Linked DNA regions of Alligator mississippiensis. The protein of the gene in region 1 purifies or fractionates together with the protein of each later gene. This does not show direct contact. Links are inferred from orthologs where the notes say so. Each region holds a gene or a part of one and is shown on either strand. Other genes may lie near its edges.

Evidence for each region. The genes of interacting proteins can lie anywhere in the genome.
Region 2: the proteins of CCT8 (region 1) and transducin-like enhancer protein 2 purify together in Homo sapiens (affinity purification with mass spectrometry; 3 studies listed by BioGRID and IntAct, with this or other methods). This does not show direct contact. The link is inferred for Alligator mississippiensis from reciprocal best matches to the Homo sapiens genes CCT8 and TLE2.

What each region holds. Positions count from the first base shown.
Region 1 is NC_081824.1:289,663,972-289,674,352, forward strand, and holds the start of CCT8 (T-complex protein 1 subunit theta), read right to left. Parts: upstream 4,057-10,381; 5' UTR 3,963-4,056; coding exon 3,903-3,962; intron 2,251-3,902; coding exon 2,160-2,250; intron 1,814-2,159; coding exon 1,734-1,813; intron 802-1,733; coding exon 652-801; intron 1-651. UniProt on the Homo sapiens protein: Component of the chaperonin-containing T-complex (TRiC), a molecular chaperone complex that assists the folding of actin, tubulin and other proteins upon ATP hydrolysis.
Region 2 is NC_081839.1:3,785,815-3,796,225, forward strand, and holds the start of transducin-like enhancer protein 2, read right to left. Parts: upstream 4,906-10,411; 5' UTR 4,347-4,905; coding exon 4,323-4,346; intron 4,182-4,322; coding exon 4,084-4,181; intron 3,879-4,083; exon of another isoform or gene 3,817-3,878; intron 3,401-3,816; coding exon 3,337-3,400; intron 2,424-3,336; coding exon 2,379-2,423; intron 1,091-2,378; coding exon 1,028-1,090; intron 774-1,027; coding exon 699-773; intron 415-698; coding exon 228-414; intron 1-227.

The sequences.
Region 1 (10,381 bases):
TCAGTGTGCTTCCTTGTGGAGTGTCTTAAAATTTTAAAGTGTATGTATACTGTAATATGGAATATGAGAGAGAAATTTTAAATCGCTAAAAAAAGGGTGGTGAATACTAAGGGCGCAGACTCAATATTCTTGCTACTAATTCACTCTAAATATTACTTTGTAGTAAATTTACTCCCAATTAAAGAGCAGACACAAAACCAGCTGTCCTGAGGTAACTGCCTACCATAGAAGCTATTACAACACTACGTAAATAGGTGGGGAGAGCGCCAGTCTGCACCGAGCAAAGTGCCAACCCAGGGATGAAAATGACTAAGAAGCAGGCACACAGTCAGCATACAGTCATTTCTCCCACTGAGGGACAACTCTGCTCCAGATGGGAATGGCTCTCTCTCATGTAAGACTACGGGGCACTGGCTACTCCATTTTTATTAGTCAACTGACTTTATAACAAACATCTTGTCTACAGACAAAGTAAAACTACGACAATTCTCTCACTACTCTTCTTTAGCTATACGGTTACTGAAGTTAATCTGGCAAGAAAGAAAATAGTCAAGCATATTATGGATGCAACCAAGTAGTACAGCCCCAAATCACTAATCTAACATAGTACCTGTGCTGTATGAATGCAAATATCAAAAATCAACTACTTGCCTCCGAAACTGATAATCCCATCCTCAGAAGGTCTTCAGCTAGCTCAAGAAGGGCCCCAGCAAAAACAAGGACAAAATTTGTTCCATCTCCGACTTCCTGCTCTTGCATATGGGAAGCCATTACAATCATTCTGGCAGCAGGATGTTGGACCTGTTCAAAGGTTATACGTTGCCACTGAATTAACATTCTCAATTAGTAAACTTTAAAAATATATATTCTTAACGTTTTGTATGGAAACAAAGAAGTCTTTACAAAAAACACAGTTTATCTAAAAGGAATGCAGATGATTGGGATGGAGGAAGCAAGGTTTTGCTTCTTCTAGAACGTGTTTGATTTAGAGTGCAAAGCATCTGAAAATGCTGTGGCGCTGACCATTTTGACATCTTCCGCTTTTCTACATCTAAGGCCCCTACAAGACACACAGGTAAAAGCACTACGGGATCTGATGCACAATCCACACAACTGCACTTCCTGCCATGCCACAAGTGCATGGCAGAAGGTGCAGTTGAGGGACTGCTTGTCATACCCCTGCACACCTCACTGCCAGTGCTGTTAGATGCAATGGCAAGCAGCAAGTTCTGACAGCTGGAAGCCCCCTCACTTCAGGCCTCTAGGCCCACAAATAAAAACATAATTCAAAACAGAGACACACATGACTATAGCTGTAACATTAATTTCTTGTTATTGACTATCTCATTTCAAGATAGTCTTCCATGGCATTCTGCCACATAGGCAAGCCCAAAACGTTAGCAATCACAACTTTCTCTAAATTCTAATCTCATTTGGAAGAGAAAACAAGGAATTACTAATGCTATTATTCAATAATCAAAGTAATCATTTATAACAAATGTCATTTTGTTGCAAAGCCCTACTTTTTCGCTTGCTAGATTTGAATGTGTTGACTGTACACTTGTTAACAGTAGCTCTGTTTTAACACCTTATGTGGGCAGCTTAGCCAATAGAACTGAATCCTTGCTAGGAACCCTTAATAGGGAAACCGAGTAAAAAGCTTGTAGTTGTTAGAGTATTTAGGTGATAATATATCAACCAAAATAAAAGATAATATATAACAAAGCACTTACCTCCAGCTCTCTTAAGATCGTTGCAGCATCATTTGTAACAAAAAGTTTCTCCAGATGATTGATCACCATTTTGTTCATTCCTAGGAGCACAAACAGCGTATATATTTTACATACTTGCAAATACTGTTCTACAGTTTGAACCAATGTTATTAGTTTTTCAATTCCCAAAATTGAGAGACTTTCTTTCAGCACCTCACCCCCAAACGTTTTAACAGTGGTACAATACAACAGTGTCAGTTTTCTTATAAAGACAGTAAGATTATGAGAAAAGCATTTTGTCTTGGTACTGACCAATTTTTTTTAGCTATGTGACATTAAATACTGGAGTTCCATATTGCCACAGACCACAAAAGGCAGGTCTTTCTACAAGAAAGATACAGCATTGTATTCGTAAGTATGACAACAAACTACAAAATTCAACGTTACCATTTGGTCCATAAGCTGTACGGGTGGTTTGCGCAAGCTCCTTACATGCCTGAATGTTCCTAAACACAGCTTCTTCTAATCCAGAATAATGCTACAAAGAGAAGTTTATTACTTAACATTACAAATTCTAACATAAAATAATTCTCAGTTTTGTTACTGAATTCAGTGAGGCCAGGATTTCATTCCCAATATTTAAATACAAGTGACAGTGTTCTTTAAAAAAAAGTAAGGACAAAAAAGTACCATATAAAGTCTTCCAACTGCCCCACTGGCACTAGGAGCAAGTTGTTGAACAGGGAAAGAGGCAAGCTGGGTCCCCTTTTGATGCAAAGTGAATGCCTCAAGTCTATCCCAGTAGATCACTTCTGGTACAGTTACTGACTCATAATATGAAGCTTGAAATATGACGGGCACCAATTTACTTAAGAAAAAATCTTCCTTCGCTTGCATGAGAATATGTCACTCCCCTTCAGGAGCCATCCCTCCTTACCTCACCCCAAACCAGTTGCATCTTGTTTCTATGTCAAGATGTTCACTATACCTTAACAAAACCTAGCCTAAACCCTATACCACACAAACGTAACTGAGCTCCCTACTCTGCTAAATAATGCATCTTCACACAAACCCAGCTCTGTAGAGCATGACCAGGTGCCCTCTACATCCAAAAGGGAGGAGGCTGCAGCTCCTTCACTTTGGGAAAAGTAGCCACTGTTTTGCTCCCGTGCCCCTTCTTAGTTGGGGGAAGAGTCCCCTCACATCTGCTTCCTTGCTCCCCCCACCCCTTTCTAGAGATCTGCAGCTCCTGCAGTTACTGCCTACCTCCTACCACCCTCTTGAAACAGGAAAGCAGTAGGCTCCCCAACTTGCTCCATCTCCCCTTCTTCATCTTATTAACCTTCTCTAATCAAGCCTTCTTCATCTTACTAAGCCTTTTTCCCCCTTCCAGATAGGGACCAACAATGGCCTAGTGCCCTGGGCCTGTTTATTGTTTCTCCTATACCAGGCTCCTGATACGTCGGAAATACCTTCTTCAACAGCATCATAGACATTATGCATCTTTACAGCCCACACCAGCGGTGCTCAAGGTTTTGATCCCACAGGCCAAATGAGTGGATGGGCCCAGGAGCCCCAGGCTGCTTCTGCCCAGCCCTGCACGTGTGGGATCAGGCCCCTGTGCATGCAACCTAGCATCCAGTCAGGCCCACAACGGTAACAGGGCACCAGGGGTGGATCCAGCCTGTGGCATGGGGTTGATCACTCCTGCTCTACACCGCTTCTCTAGTCAGGGAGCAGGCAACAGCAGGTGAGGCAGCAGATGGGGTGGGGAGCAGAAAGCACAGCAGCAGAGAGCATAGGGTGTAAGGCAGAAAGCAGATTGGTCAGGGAGTACAGAGCTGGGGGGGGCAGAAAGGAGAGCAGCAGACAAGGCAAGGTGCAGAAAGCAGAGCATTTGGGGCACACGGATGAGGAGCACAAAGCACAGCAGCGGACGGGGGAGGCTGCACATGGCGGGGGGCAGAAAGCAGAGCAACAGAGGGGCCAGGGTGCACCATGCAGCGAGGAGCGGAAAACAGAGCAGCAGATGATACTGACAGCACAAGGTGTAGAGAAGAAAGCTGACTGGTACGGGTATAAAAAGCAGACAAGGCGGGGAGCAGAAAGCAGAGCAACAGAGACCCCTCCCCTTCCCGGCCGAGCCCGGCGCTTCCAGAAGTTTCCACTCCCCCAGAGCCCCGCCCCCACCTTCGCGCCCTCCTTCAGCATCTGGGCGAAGCCTGGGGCCTTGGGCACGTGCAGCGCCATGGCGGGAGGCGGGATGGGCCTGGAGCCGCGACAGAACCGCGCGCGAGCCGCCGCCCTGAGACCGAACGCCGCGTGGGGGATGCGCGCGCAACTCCCCGCTCCGAACCCCGCACGCATGCGCGGCGGGCCCCTGTCCAGGGAGAAGCGAACGCGCCCGGAACGCATCGATGGCCCTCAGGGCAGCGAGTCGAGTGACGCTCTGCGGCTTGGCCACGTGGTGCAGAGGGAAAGGCCTGCGCTTCTCTGTGGGGCGGGGCCTGAGAGCGCGGTGGGCACCGGCCCAGCACAATGGCGGGGGGGATAGCTTTGCAGGCTGGCTGTGGCAGGCCGCTCTGGCTTTCATTGGGATTGTTAGGCACGGTGTTGCTGCGCGCGTGGACAGTAATTACCATATTTGTACCATAGGGGTTCAAAATGTACACTCATGTTTGAGGCAGATTATTGATGCAGCACATGCAAAACCCAAATCGCTCTCAGAAAGTATTTATTATTTTTTTAATAGAAATTTTGTCATGTCCCCCAAGTTAAAACAGCCAAATCAATTCCAAATCCATGAGTCAATCAAGAAGCTTAATGTGGCCCTGCTACAGGCAAACATCCTCCACCCCTGCCTGGGGCATCAGATGCTTCCAAATCTATTGACAGGCATCCTACATCCAGACCCAAGCCCAGAAGCTTGGGGTTCAGATGCCCCCATGTTTTGCTTGCTCTCAGCTGTATGGCTGCAGCAACAAGCTTAGAGAGGAGTCCTTCATTTTCATAAGGTTGTGTAACTGAGATCATATCAAGTGATCAGAACTCAGTCCTTGCAAAGACCATCTTGACTGAGCAGGCAGAACTCAATTGTTTTAAACACCATGTGTGGTGCTAGAAATGGTGAGCATCCTCCATTCCCAACTGCTGATCCTGGGACTTCATATATCCCCAAATCCATTGGCAGGCATCCTACCTGCAGACCCAAGGCCACAGATCTTGGGATTCAGATGCCCCCACCTGATCTTAGCCCACAAGAGGCTGAGACCTAACTTTGAGGTTTACTATCAGCACTTTCTTACAGCTGCTTGCCTCAACATAAAGAAATGCTTCGACTTTGATTCAGTTCTCACTCACTCACTGGCGAGTTATAGTGAGCAATATAAAGTAAATAAGAAGAAAACTTATTTGCATGTTCATTCGCATATTTTTTCAGTGTACGATAGTTTTTCCACAATAGGATAATTTTGAGCTTCCAATACAATTATTTCATATTTAAGATCTGGCAATGCTGATTACGCAGGAGTGCTTCCTGGGTCAGCCAGAGCTGCTGTGTTTAACATGGTGTCTGTGGCCCAAGGGACAGTCCTAGGAGCAATGGCCTAGAGCTGCAGCAGAGGGAATTTAGGTTTGAGATTAAGAGGGTATTCCTGACTTTGCAGGTGCCCGGGTATTGGAACAATCTGCTATCTTGGAAGTTTTCAGGAACAGGGTTAGAAAGGCTGGGATGGTTTGGTCAGGGATGCTTCTGCTTTGAGGAAGGGGCTGGATTAGACCTTACGCCATCCCTTCCAAGCTAACTTTCTTGTGCTCCCCACAGCAGGACCTGCCCCCTAAAGCAGTGTTTCTCAACCCATGGGTCATGAGTCATGACCCAAAAGTGGGTCACAAGAATATATGAAAGGGAAGCGAACAAACTTTAAAAGTGGATTGCCCTTGAAAGAAGAAAAACGTGGGAAACTGTTTTTTTCCCTTGCAGGCTGGCAGAGCTCCAGCCTGCAAGGGGCTGCTTGAGGCCTCCCCATGCGACACATACCCACCCCTGTACCACAAACAAGGGCGGGGGAGGGGGGGACAGGCCAGGAATGAGGGGCAATGGGTCACGACTGGCCGTTGATGTTACAAATGAGTCCTAGTACAAAAACGGTTGAGAACCACTTCCCTAGAGGGCCTAGAAAGTAACTGGAATGCTCCTTTTGTACCTGATGACCCCTCAATAATTGGGGCAACTGAGCTGGGTTATAAAATCTACCACACAGCTTGTCCTAAATGTGTGCTAAAGGCACCTCAAACGAAAATGCACCTCATATGGCACTTCAAACAAAAGTAGTCATTATCTGAGGGGTTGTTAAGCCAACACAGGTACCTTCCAAGCCTTTCAAAGATAGGCCACTGCAGCAGAGATTGATCTTTGATTCATTTTGCCCAGGGTATCTGTATGAATGCTTTGGGGGAAAAAACATTTGTGGCCTCCAGTTATGGTGTATTTCACCAGAGCAGGGAAATAACATAAAATAAAACTGTCCAAATCCTGTTTATCCAAAACAGATAAAGCTTCTCCATTAATCACACAGGATCTGCCTCTTTCTGTAAAGAGAGGATGGTGGAAAAGGATGCATTGAGGAAAGTTTTACTCACTAACCTAATTAGCCCACCAGCCGAGAGGAGATGCCAGTAGCATCCCCCAGTGCTGCACACTCCTTCTGCCTATGGGTGTGTATAGTAAGGTGCTCTATATCATGATCATGGTCTACAAGTAAATTACATTTTCAATAACATGCACTTGTGGGCCGATATATGATTTTGAAAAGGCAGAAGAGGATAGATAGTGAGATGCATCATCACATATGTGGAACAGGCTTCCAAGGGAGGTGTTGCTCTCCCCTGCCTGGGGGGTCTTTGAGAGAAGGCTGGATAGGCATTTGGCTGGGATCATCTGACCCCAGCACTCTTTCCTGTCCAGGGCAGGGGGGTGGACTCGATGATCTGCTGAGGTCCCTTCCAACCCTAGCATCTATAAATCTATATGAAACCACATATCTTTTTCTCCAATTAAAAATAAACTAAAAGTTTAACTAATATGCCAGGGGTGTAAGGCTATATTATTCAGTTTCAGATTGGAGCAAAGAAACAAATATAACTTCATGCAATCAGTTAAAAACAATTGGCAGTGCTGTGAAGTAGGAGCTGTATCACCAGGAGCAACTAACAGACAGCAGAATTGAAGAACAAAGGGTAGCTTAATTGGTGGAACATCAAGACCATTAAAAAGAATAGAGGGTCGCTAACACCTGTGAAATGAAGAGTGCAGAAGGGGTCAGGTAGATTACAATGAACCATGAGGTCAATTGACTCCCTCAGCACTGCCTGATAAGAAATGCTGCTGCCACTGCCAGGTGGTTGGTTTTAAACTTTGGTTGGAGTAGGAATCAAAGGGTGGTGTAGAAGTGCACCAGCACTCCCCAACCCCGGATCCACCACTGCACAGATCCCATCCCACCCCCTCAGGCTCCACAGCATCTTTGCTGAGGGCACCAAAATAGCTACTGAGGCTTCAGTAAGGTTCTATGCACCATTACCATGGTATATAAGTAAATTCCATTTTCAGTTTTCCCAACAGTTTTATTTTATTGTTTGTCTATTTTATCATTCAGCAGTAGAGAGGGCTGGAAGGCACATTTTATATTTAAAAATTATCTATTTCAAGCAAAATACAAACATTTAAAATGATCATGTTTCAAAAAAGTTGCGCACAGAGAGGATTTGTTAGTCCAGAATTGTCTATGGTGGATTTAGAAGGCTGCTACTGATTTTAACCCCAACTCGATAGCCCTCTGCTCACTTATGCTGGCTCATGCTAAATTACTGGCAGTAACATACATGAGTAATTTTAGTGACTTCAATGTAATTACAAATACTGGTTTTACGTCAAGAAAATTTGCATCAATACAGTATAGCTAAATGAGTTCAGTAGTGTTAACAGATCCCTAACAAGCACTGGACTAATGCAAAACAAGACATGAGCCAGTTTAGTTTAATTCTATGGCCAAACTCAGCATGCATTGTATGAAAGAAATATAATTAATGTTTTATAAGCTAAACCAATTAGGTCTCAAAGTTCCTTAACATGCATACACAGGGACCTACTTGCAGCAAGACAAAGCCCCTTTTTATGGCTTAATCACAGCATGAAGAGCACATTTTGCAGGCATTTTGTGGTGGCCCCACCCCTTGGATCCAATTGCGGGAGAGGTCCTATCCCTCAGTGCTGACTGGCAGAGAGGCCCAGAGGGCATGGGGGGGAGTAGGGACAGCTGCCATCTTGTCTGCTGTCCCCTTTGCTCTGCCATGCCATCCTGCGTCTTCCCCTCCCGGGCAGGCCCATCTGGGAGGGAAAAACCGAATAAAAACTTATTTTAATTAGGATCTTTTTTTCATGGATTTCATAGGCACCCCCAGATTTTGCAGTCTCTGCAAAATCCACAAAACCATGATTTAGGTAGGTCCCTGTGCATAAGGCCACAATACATGTTGTACAATCTAGTCTTCTGTTAGCGGAAGGGACGAATTTAGAGTCTTACAGTTAACTTCCCCTAAATTGTACCACTTTCTTCTGTTTCCCAGTTTCTTTTAAGAGTAATTCCTAATTCCCCTATATAAGTATGTTGGCATTTGCAATGCACTTCCATTTCCTTTTATTAAATGCACATGGATTAACTCCAGTAATACTTAGGTGTTTTGGTGCTGTAGTTAGCACCTAAAATTGTGAAAGTTAAGTTCTAGTCCTGTTTCTAATTCATTTTTGATTGATTGAATGGCATTCAAATTACTAAGGAACATTTTGAAGGGACCAGTCTCCCTTCAGTCTGCCTGCAATGCTACATACCTCTTTTATTCAATAGGCATAAAAGAAGTCCTGCTTAAAACAGGTAAATAATGTTTTTCTTTTAATATGCATTTTCACATGAGCAACCTCAAGAGGGTGCACTTAGCTTAATTTTATGCCTTTCACAATTTAACATATATTTTTGCAATACTATTAACACGGTAAGAATAGAGTACAAAACTAAACTGTCAACCAAGCACCCTTTTAATTAATATTAAAAAAATATTATGTAGACTACTGTTTCTATAAGTATAGAAATCAGATAGGGAAATTAGACCACTGTAAGTTATCTGTTTATTTTATAGCCAGGGACTCAGACATTTCTTAAGATGAAACAGGAAGGAATCCATGCTTATCTATTCAATGCAAAGGGACTACTATGCTTACCCCTGTGTACATTCTTATGTATCTTTTGGCTCTGGACTATAAAGCTACATCCACATCTGTAGCACTGTTCTTCTCATGTCTCTACACCACATTTGACCATTTTGCTACACATGCTTGTGCATATTTATTGTACTTTGCGAGGCCTTTCATTGTACATGTGCCTTCAAGCAGCAGGCATTGCAGCAGGTGTTGCATAGTGTGAGGCTCTGTGCCTCTGTCACAGGTGGTTGAACCAATGGTATAGCCCTACTTCATTAGTTCCTTGGAGCGTCTGACTCGGGTACGTAGGTGGTTAAGACATCACCACCTTTGCCATAGTTCATCAGCCCCTGGTGGTAAGGACTTGGCTATGTCATATTGAATTAAATAGTTTGAATGTTTGTAATGGTTGCCCATTAGCCAGTTTCAGGAAGAAGATAAGATTTATCTCCTTATCTAGGTCATTGTTTTGGTCTGTGAAAAATCCAGACTTTGCTTAAAGTTTTAACTTTTGAATTTTATCTTTAGAAGTCTTTTACAAAGAGAACCTAACAATGATCTTTTCAGCAAATATCCTGAGTTCCGAGAGATCAAACTCTAGAGCCTTTTGACAGATTGGTAAGAAAAAGGTCACTTGCAGTGGTATGCAAGTTCCCCAAAGTAATTAAAATGATCAACAAAAGAAACTAATTATTAAGCAAAAGAATCTGTTGAGTAAGATCCAAGCCCAAATTTGGGGGTAATGACAGGTTTGAGTAGGAGTGGCCCAAGACGGCAACTCACTCAATAAAAACTGTAACCTACTGTCCCAATTTGGAGGTGACTATACTTGCAGAACATCGAAGGAAGAATCGCAAGTGTAGGCCAGATCAGACTGATCACCTGAACCACCCTCTCCGTGAACACGAATCTCTTAGTTCACGCTGAAGCTGCAGAGCGCCCAAAAGGGACTGAAAGAAGGGGACTTAGTCCTATCAGTATTGAGGCCAGCCTATTGAATTGTATTGCTGAGGCGAGCCCATTGAACCGTACTACTGAGGCCAACCCATTAAATTGTACTACTGAGGAATGAAACCATATTTAGGTGTTTGGCTTCTCGGAATTCTAGGATTTTAAGTATATTATGAAAAATAATAGTATTGATTCAAATTTAACTTTTAGTTGTAATTGTAGTTGTTTTTGTAATACTAATTCTTATAGCATTCTTTGGGAAGGATGTGCATTCGGAGCATTGTTTCTGATATATGTAATTATTGTGTTCTTAATGTTTGTGGTGTTTCTTAAAGCTAAGTAGTGTTATATACGTAGCAAAGAATTTTAAAATAAAATTGTGTTGTATGAATTAAGTGTGTAATCATTGTGAAATTGTGCAATCAGCTAACTACTCCCCCAGCCAGTGCATCAAAATGAATCA
Region 2 (10,411 bases), on another chromosome or scaffold:
TGTCAGGTGCTGCTCATCCCAGTGCTCCCAGTAGGTGCAGCTCCTGCAGCGATTGGTGAGATGAATGGTTGGTGGGTCGTGGAGCCCCCGGCAGTCACTGCTCCATTAATTTCCATGGGAGGATCACAGTAGCCACGGCGGGCACCCTCCAGGGTGCAAAGGGTTAACCGCCCCCTATCCACCCCCCACAACCATGTGCTGCTGCAGGGCTGCTGCTGCTGCCTTACCTCTGCTGTTCTCAGCATCCGGACCCACTCGGTCGTCCTTGGCGGCCAGCTGGGTCTGGGCTACCAGTGCCCCCGACAGTGCCAGGAGCCCCGAGGTGCCGGCCAGGCTGGAGGGGGGCAGGCCAGAGGGGTGGGGGGTGAGCGGGATGGGCGGCGCATGGTGCGAGAGGTGCTGCAGCTGCTGCTGCTGGAAGGAAAAGCATAGAGGCTCCAGAAGCTGCCGGGAGAGGGGGAATGCCCCAAATCCCACCCCCCAAGGATGAGGGGCCCCTTCCCTCTAGTCCCAGAGTCCTTTGCACCCATTGCAGCAGCTGGTCAGTATGACCAGCAAGCAGGACCCCTCCCACTATGCTCCAGATGTGAGGACCAGCAGGCCTAATGGTGAGCAAAGCCCAGACCCCTGTGGGGGTGGCACTGCAGGCTCCCCGTGCCCAGCTTCCCACCTCCCCACCCTTGAGCCGAGCTACTCACCCCAATGATGCTGTTCAGCTCCCCCATGGTCACCTGCTTGGCCCGTTCCACGGCCTGAAGCACTTGCTGCTGGTGCTGCCCGGGAAAGCAGGGCGGTCAGGGGTGCTGAGCATCGCAGGGTGAGACCCCTGGGGCCACAGCTGGGTGGGGAGGGAGGTGGGGCCGCAGTAGGGTCCACACAGGGATGATCCAGGGGGGCATTTGAGCGCCCACCCCACCCCACCCCACCCCACCCCCTGGGACCTTGCCCAGCTGTTCTGGCCTGGGTGCTTCTCCCCCACGGGCCCCGCGAGACGCTGCTGGTGCCCCGCCAGCCTACGGCCGCTCACCTCTTGTGTCAGGAAGGGGATGATCTGGGCACAGATGGCGCTCAGCCTCTTCACGATCTCGGCCTGGAGGAGGAAGGGGGCATCCAGGTCACCCGGGCACTGAATCCAGGCTCTGGCGGTCCCTCGGGCCACATGGGTTTAGGAGCCAGGTAGATACCATAGACACAGCTTGGGCACGGGCTCAATTCCCCACGTCCCTTCCCAGCCTGCTTCAGGCTTGGTGTAGCCCCACGTGGGACTCTGGGCTCAACTACAGCTGTGGCTCAAATACAGCTGTGGCTTGTGCCCGCTGGGAGCTGCCAGCTGGGCACAAGCGCTCGTTAGCTCTGTGTAGCTCCTTGCCCCCACAGATCCTGGAGCTCTCCGCAGCCTCGCCATCAGGCGGGGAAACTGAGGCACGCAGCGGCAACGGGAGCAGGGCGTCCCTAGACTGCAGACACTCGCAGGACCCATCTCCCTGGCTCTAACCACAGCTGGACGCAGAACCAGCGCCCATACCACGCTCACGCCCGGAGCAGGGAGCACAACCCAGGCATCCGGGCGCCAACATCCGCTTTGCCCGGCACTTAAAACACCCCTCCTTCCTTCCTCGCCATCCCCCCGCGGCCTGGCGCTCCCGGCTGGGTCCCCGGGGTGGTCTCGGATGCCCACGGGATCAGCAGCAGAGGAGGGCGCAGCCAAGGGCAGCGCCGGTGCCAAACCTCCCCGCTCACAAAAGGAGCAAGCGCGGGGGGCTGAGCCAGCTGGAGAAATATGGCAGTTGACTTGCCACTTTGTCAGGCACGGCTCCAAGCTAATTTCCCTGGCAGAGAGCCCCGCGATGACTGGGTTGATAAATCTGAAGAGGGAAAGCAAATTACGGCAGCAACAAAGGGGCCGGGGCTGGCTGGAAAACACTGTGCCGGCTCCGAGCAGGGGGGAAGCCGAGGTCCGGTTGCCACCAGCCGCTCCGGGCACCCCGCCATGCCCTCCTGGCCCCGAGACCACTGGCGGAGGGGAGGCCGTGCCAAGGCTGGCTGGGAAAGGGGTTTAGGTCCTTAAAGGTGTGGGCGGGCATCTCAGTCCCTGTGGTGTCAGAGGGATTTAGGCACCTCAATACACCCACTAAGGCTTAAGGACATGGTCCCTGCTCAGGGACCCCATCCCTGCCCTGTCCCCCCTGTGCTCCTCAGGGTCCTGGCATTTGTACAGCGCCAAGCGCAGCAAGAGCCGCTCCCCACCGGGACTTGGTGCCACCCAGCTCAGCGTCAGTGAGCTCTGGGTTCAACGCCCCCTTTGAGGGCAACGTGGAAGGATTGTGCCCCAGGGCGGAGCGCCTGCCCCGCGTTGGGCCTGGGCCCCTGGCACTCACCTGCTTGTGCATCTCGATGTTGAGCCCGTAGGACATCTCGTAGTACTGCAAGGGAAGCCAGACGACCGTCCAGTTACAGGGGGGTCCCACGGGGCATTAGCGGGGTCCCTCTCTTGGGCACTAGCAGGACAAGCCCCCCCGCTTGGCCCTCCAGCCCCAGCAGCTGCAGGAGAGGGGCTCTGTGCAGCCCACCCTCCCCTGCCCCATGTCCTACTCACACCAGGTCCTGCCTGAGCTTAGTGGGCACCAATGCCCGCCTGCCCTCCCCCCGCAACATGCCTGCTCTACCCACTGGCGCATATTTCCCCCGGGGAACTGGCACCCGTGCGGTGAAGTGGGGGGGAGAGGGGGTGGCAGAAAGGACTCATAGCCAAGCATGGACAGGACCCCAGCCTCATTGCCTGGGCAGGGGGGCCAGGGTGTTTCCCCCCTCACCCACCAAGATGTTTGGGCATCTCCTTTGCAAAGAGCTGGGCAGTGCCCAGTTCGGCTGGGCAATGCCAGGGCTCCCAGCCCATTTATTAACCCCTTGCTGGCCATTACAGATGCTGCTCCCTGCCATCATGGTGGGGAGCACGAGGTGGGGGGGTTCTGCGCCTTTGCTTCCAGGAATCCCCTCCCACCCCGGGGGGGGGGCAGAGACCTGTATAATTAAGAGACCGGGGCAAAAAGGAAGACAGAGAGCATGGCCTGGATCCAGGCTGGCACCGAGGCAGCAGACAGCAGCTGCCCCCCCCCCCAGCCCATTGCTAGGACTAGCGCTTAACTCCTTCCTGCCTGATGCTCCCCCCCACTCGGGGAGACCCCCGGGGTGACCTGCTGGCAGCACCCACTGGCTGGGGGGGGGGTCTCCTCCCAAGCCAGGCTCTAGGGACCCACGGTGTGCAGAGGACCCAGCTGGAGGGTGAGCCCCCCACCCCGTTGGCTCCAGCGGGGTGGGGATGAGTGGGGGTCTTACCATGACGTAGTGTCGCTGCATCTCCGTCTTCTCGCTGGCCAGCTTCTCACATTCCAGCTTCAGGCTGCGGACAAACCGCTCGGTCACAAGGGCAGGCTGGTGCCACCCTGCCCTCCCCGCCAGGGTCCCAGCATCAGGGCTGGCAGCCCCCCGCCCCTGCTGCCCCGCTGCCGGCGGGTTGTGGCACGCAGGACGGCAGGGCTCCCATGGCATCGACCCACCCCCGGTGCCTGTATTCCCACCCTGGCATCTTGGCTCCCGACCTGCACCCCTTTTCCCCCAAGCATTTGCTTGCGCCAGCTCTTGGGGTCTTCCTCTGACCTGAAGCCCCCCCAGCTCGCCCCCTGCCCTCTTCCCCCACCATGCAAATGCCTCCTGCCTGGCAAACCCCAGGACCTGACCCCCCCCCCCCCCGGCACCCCCAGCTGCTCCCTGCCTCCCCGCTTGGTACTACCAAGCTCTGTGCCTTGCCCCCTTTACCCGGGACCTGGCGCATGGCCTCTTGCGGTCTCCTGACCCCCAACCAGTCTCCTCCATCCACCTCCCCATGGGCTCACATGCTCCTCCCAGCTCCCCCCTCTCCAAGCAGGGGGCTGAGCCCTGTCCTCGCTATCAGGCCCCTGCCTCACCTGCCCCCCACACCCAGCCCAGCCAGCTGCCACGGGCAAAACTCTCCTCCTGCCCCCCTCAATGACCCCCAATGCCCGCCGTCCCCCCAGCCGCCCCCAGCCCGCCCGCACCCCTCACCTGTGGTACTGTGCCTGCAGAAACTGGAATTCCTCCTTGATCCGGTCGCAGATCTCCAGGATGGAGAACTTGAAGGGCTGCCCGGACTGGAGCGGGGTCTGGGGAGGGAAGCACAGGGGGCATGAGCGCGATGCCCCGTGCATCGGGGACCTGCCCCTGCCCCGCGCCTGGATCAGAGCCCAGTGCCCCCCTACCCCTGCCCATGCACCCCCGCAGCCAGTGGCGGGGCTGGTACTTACAGGGTGCCGTCCTTGCGGGTACATCCTGAGCCGCTGGCCCCAAACGGCTACCAGCCAGGGGAAGGGGGCGGCCCCCGCTAGCCCCCCCAGGACCCCTGCACTTGAACTTCTCCAACAGCCGCCGTAGGATCAGGAGGGCAGCCAAAGCCCAGGACGAGCCAGGCGGGCACAAGGCTTCCTCTGACCAGGCTTTTTTTTTTTTTTCTTTTTATCTTAAATGCAAGGATTTTGGGGGTGCCGGAGCGGAGATCTCCGCCGGGCGAGAGGGGAGCAGGACTCCCTCCCCGGCGGGTCGTGAGCGGCCCATCGGACACGGGGCTGGGGGGAAATCTAATCGGCCTTAAAGCATGGGGTGGGGGGGGGACAAAAAAACCCAGCAGGAACAGAAGGTCAGGCGAAAATCTGGCCGGATTTCAGCAGCGGTCCCTGGCTGGAATAAAAACTACCTCCTGGCAAGGCAGAGAAAGCAGGGGAGCCTGGCGAAGCGCGCCTTAAGGTGGCTCTGGCCCTCCAGGAGAGGCCTTGGCCACGGCGCTGGGAGAGCTGGGGCGCCCCCCAGGCACCCCCCAGGCACCAGCTCCCGCAGGCAGCGGTGCCTTCGGCCAGACCCACAATTTGCCGCCCCCCAGCTCCAGCCGCTTTGGTGTCGCCTGCCTGCTCTGATGCCTCCCCCGGCCTCCTAGCCACTCCAGTGCCCCCTCCCCAGCTACTTCAGGGTCCCCTGGCCACGCTGGTGCCCCCTCCCCAGCCACTTCAGTGCCCCGTGAGTGCACTGGTGCCCCCAAGTTGCTCTGAAGCCCCCCGGGCACCGTAGGGGGGACGGGGGGAAGCCAGGAGAGCAGAGCAGCCTCCAGCCCCCGGCTTCCTTCTCCCGGACCCTGGCTGGAAACCAGCCCTCCCTCCACCCCTGGCATCATCTGGGCATTGTCCACGCAGGATGATGCCCGGATCAGGGTCTGGCATCTCGGGCATCCGAGGGGGCCGAACACAGGGCACACAGCGCCCCGAGAGAAAGCCTGGACTGGGCTAGAGAGGCTGCGACTGGGGCAGCGAGCAGCAAATGCCCCGAGCAAGCTGCTGTCCTGCCCCGGGCACCGCAGCGCCTCCTGCTGGACCAAGGCTGGCGGGGCGACTCGCGCTGCCCCACGCCTCGCCTTCACGCCAGCCCCCAGGCCCAGGCCAGCGGTGCCAGGGGACCAGCGCTGTGCTGGACGCCAAGGCAGGATGCTCGGGCCGGCAGGTGACCCAGGAGGACGCCCGCGCCCTGGGCTGCCCAGGTCCACCTTAAAGAGCTTTGCAGCCTCGGCTACTGTGGACGCGGCGCCATTGGCTGCCGTGGGCTGGGAGCGCCAACCAATGCGCCTTCCCAGTTCCCACATGGGTCCATGATGTCAAAGCTTTCGGAGGCTAATCAGGAGGAGAAGCAGGGGGGAGCCGGGGTGGGGCAGTGGCAGTGGCAGGCTGGGACTTGTGGTTTCCCAGCCCCATCTCAGCTGGGGCAGCATCTGGGGCAAGGGTGCCAGGCCTGGGCAGCTCTGGGGGTGCATCCCACCAGATACCCCCATGCCCCCGCCTGGCGAGAGCGTCCTCGGCCTCGGGCATGGCTGTGCCTGGTGCCACCGCCCCATGCCGCCTCCGGCCTTTTGGCACGAGAGCGGTCGGAGACCAGGCCCCTCCCTGCCAGGTGCGGGGCACAGGTGCTATGAAGCAGTGAGGCCGCTTGGAGCATGTCAGTTCTGTGCCTCGGTTTCCCCCCTTTCCAGGGTAGCCTGCAGCTCAGGCTCCTTTTGCAAAGAGCCCCATGCCTAGGACTGCTCCAGGGAGCTGGGCGCGAAGGCGGCTGGTCCCTAGGGCTCTGCCCCCCGTCGCTGCGCGTAGCAGGGCACCGCTGGCACCGGACGAGTGCACGAAGCACCCCATCTCGCCCCCCAGCACAGCTGGCCCGGACTACAGCCCCCAGCAGCCTCCGCGCTGCAGCTCCCCACCGCTGTCAATCAAAGTAACGTGGGGCCCAGCTCCCTCCACCGCCCGCCCGAAGTGGCTGGCTGGTATAATTACAGCACATTGATCTAACGGAGGCAAGGCTTTCCTGCTGGCCATGACTCAGGCTGTGCAGAGAGCAGCACATCCCTTTAACACCAAGCACAGCGGCACCATCCATCACAATAGGACCCCCCCCCCCCCCCCCCCCAGCTCCCTGCCCACAGGGCTGCAGGCAAGACAGTAAAGCGCTCTTCCCTCTGCATGTCCCGCCGGTCCTGGGACACGGGGACCCTGGGATTCCCCATCCGAGCGCGGTCTCACTTTGTTCCCCAGCCTTAAAAACCAACCCAAGCAGCCTCTGGCCCTTCCAGATCCCCGAGCTGCTGGAAGCATTCGTGCAGCACCTAGCACGGTGGGCCGGCCAGGCCCCGAGCCTTGAGGCGCTACCCGTAATTCATAACGAAGCAGTCATCCAGGCAGGCGCTTGCCCACGCTGCCGTGTTCCACCCCAGAAGTGGCTGCAGATGCATCCCCCGGGGACTGCCTTATCACCCAGCGGGGTTCGGATAGAAGGGACGTCGCTGGTTGGGGACCGCGCAATACCAGGCCGGGCCTGCCCATTCTCAGGCCAGTTTCTTGGGGGCAATGCCCATATTAGCCCCCTTCTCCATGGCCTCTGCTTGACTGAGCAAAACTGGGTTCTCATGCCCCTGGGGCAGGACTCAATGATCCTCCGGGGTCCCTTCCAGCCCTATTGTCTATGAGTCTATGAAAATGCCAGTGGATGGAAGCAGGCACTGGGGGGTCATGGCCTTCCTGATCTCTCTGGAGAGATTTGCACCCATCTCCAGACAGACACTAGGCATTAGCATGTCTGCTTCATGGATGGGGAAACTGAGGCATGGAGCGGTCAGGTCCTGGGGTCACCAGGAGCATCCCCCACGTCTCCCCGATTCCTGGCCTGGGTAGACACAGGGGCCCTAGATGGGAAGGGCTGGGAACCCCTGAGCCGCAGGGACTGGATCTACTCACTCCTCGGGTGGGAGGGGATCCACTGGAAAGAGCGATCACGGGCCCAGGAGCCAGGACTCCCGGGTCCTATCCTGGCTCTGCTGCCTGCATCTTGCGGAGGGCCGGCGTGCCTCAGTTCCCCCACCTATGAAAGGGAGCAGGAGGGACCCGTCGCAGGACTAAGCAGCGCCACGGGGCGACGTGCTGCACCATTTCTTTGGGGAAGGAGAGAAGAAATTACAGCGCACCCAAGGCCAAGCAGCTCCGGGGGCTGATTTCATCAGTGATGCAAAATTATCTGCAAGCCTATCAGCTGCGGGGAAGGCAGGGGCTCCTCCGGCCCAGATCTCAGGGCACATCCTGCCCTCCGGCTGGTGCCCGACCACCCCTTATCACCCAATTCAAACGGGCATCGGCCCCGCATTTGGGAGCAGAGGAGGTGGCCAGGCCAGGAGTCATCTCAGGCTCCCCATAGACCCCCGCTCCTGTCCCCCCCATCAGCTCTTGGAATAACTGCTGCTCCCCGGGGCAGGGAAACACTCAAATCAATTAAGCTGCAGCCCACCCGGGAGCCGGGAAGGATTACAGGCCCTGTTTCAGATGGGGTGGGGAAGAGAGATTTGCCCCCCACCCCGCAGCCTGTCGGTGGCAGAGCTAGGACGGGAACCCAGGCATCCGGGCTCCTCCTTAGTCCTCCTTGCTCTAACCGCTACACCCTGCTCCCTCCTTCAATCCACAGAGCCCTTCCCCACTCACCCCCAACCATCCCTGCTCGTCCCAGAGCTGGAAACAGGACCCAGGAGTCCTGGCTCGCAGCTGCCCTGCTCTCCCTCCTGTACCCTACTCTCCCCCCACCGCTGTAACAATTAGCCCCCAACACCTCCTCTCCCACACGGACGGACGGACAGCCCCACTCAGCCCTAGCGGAGAGGCTTCCAAGGGTTAATCCTCCCATCCACCCCTCCATGGACCCCCATCAGCCTTCTGCTCTTTAGGGTTAAACTGGGTGTTGGGGGGGGTGTTGGAAATAACCCTGCTCCTTACATCCTGCAGAAGCCAGCTGTGTCTGGCCCTCCGGCGCGGGCAGCCGCAGGGTTAAATATTTAATGTGTCACATTTCATCCTAATCTTTTATTAATTATGTTATTTACTTGCTGCATGATGTCGCCTGTCAGCAGCACGGTATGGGGTCGGGGGGCTAACATGTAGGATCTGCCTTCCCTCCCCCTCCCCACCTGGCTAGGCCAGAAGGTGCTAGTGTAGACAGGGATGGACGTGGGGATCTGCCACGCTGCGTGCCCCACGGCCCAATGGAGATGGGGGGTCTCTGCTACGGACTGCCTGCGGGGCCTTGGTCAAGTCACTTAGGCTCATCAGGCTGGCAGGTCCCTTGGGAGGGGATGTGGGGGCACATCTAATGCAGCCCTCTGCTCCAGGCAGGCTCATCCCTGAACCAGCCCCATTTTCTCCCCCTGGGCTAAAAACATCCAGTGATGGAGATCCCACTCTCCCCAGAGGAATACGCCTCCTTTCCTTCTCCCACCTGCTGCCAGTGCTCTCCAGGCAGAGATCGTCTCCAGCCATGCAGCGCCTTGCACCTCTGGTGATATAGCCCCCCACCCTGGCACTATACGATATAGCCCCCAGCCCTGGCAGCTCCTAGCGGAGGGGCGGGCGAGCTCTTTCACACCCCCTGACCCTATTGCCAAGTTCTCTGCAGCCAGCCCCTCTCCTGCCAGCAGCTTGGCAGAGGGTGAATGGGCTGGGGGGTGAGGGGGAAGCACAGCCTGGCATTAACCCCCTCCCCGCTCCCCCCCCAGCCCAGTCTGCCTGCTGGGGACATCAGACCAGTCCAGAGCAACAGCCACCCTGCAAAGCAGCTGTGCACAGCTGGGGCACGGGGTCAGGCTGGACCTGCCGTGAGACTTGGATGACTTGGACAGTGGCCCAGGCACAGGCCAGCCCGGGGTCTCTGCCCCCTCCAAGCAGGTGGATGCGCCCGGGGAGAACTGGCTGGAATAACCCCCAGCCTGATTCTAGGTTTCATTTTGGGGGGGGGCAGGGGAAGGCCGGCTTGTCACAAACCATCTCCACTGGAGGTGGGGTGGAAACTGCTCTGTGCCTCAGTTTCCCCACTGCTTAACACTCTTCCTTCCCCCTCTCCACTAAAGGGAAGGGCCATTGAGGGCATCCTTATGGTGTTGCCTCGGAGCCCACCAAAGCATCTCCTTCCACTGGCACCCCTGCACCCAACACCCCCCCTCTCCCGGTGGCCAAATCCCCTTTGCTCTTCCCAGCCACTTGCCCACTACCTGCTCAGGAGCTCACTCACACAGAGGAGCCTGCAGAGATGAGACACAGCAGGGGAGGGAAACTGAGGCACGGAGGCAGGACGTGATTTCACCAAGTGATGGAGCTGAAACTGGAACCAAAAGCCTGTCCGCTGCGCCACCCATTCGAGCCCGGGCCATGGACACCAGCTCTGCTCTCTAGCGGCATCTGCAAGTCCCTGGCCCGAGAGGTCCTGAAGCTGCAGGCCCCAGGGTCACTCGCAGGAGATGGAGGCTGGGCTGGGGCACAGGGACGCATCCCCTGCAGCCATAGGGCAGTCACCCAGGCCCACGGGGCTGTGGGAGGGGGGCGCAAGCCCTGAAAGCTGCGCGGGAGCCAGCACCGCATTTCCCAGGCGCTGCCTTCGCTCTGCCCACCAGCTCCCGCCGGCACTTACCGGCTCCGAGTGGGGTTTGAATTATTGATGCCTCTTTTAGCTTTTATCCTGCGTCCGCGGCAGCCACCAAGGCCTGGAAGCTCCTGCATTAGTGATGAGCTGGGAGCTGCACCCCCACCACCACCCCCACATGCATTACCGAGCTCTCCCGCTTCGCAGGCGGTGCCTGGGTGAAGCCAGCTGGAAGCGATGCTGGGCTGGGGATCAGGAGACATCCCCCCCCGGGCAGCCGCAGCCACGGGCATGGCATGGATCTCGCCAGCTCCGGCATCCCTGGCGCGGGACGGCCCAGCCCACAAAACCCTGGCCCCCTGCCCTGAGGGCTGGCAGAGCCGGGGAGTGAACCCAGGCGGGCTGGTCATGCCAC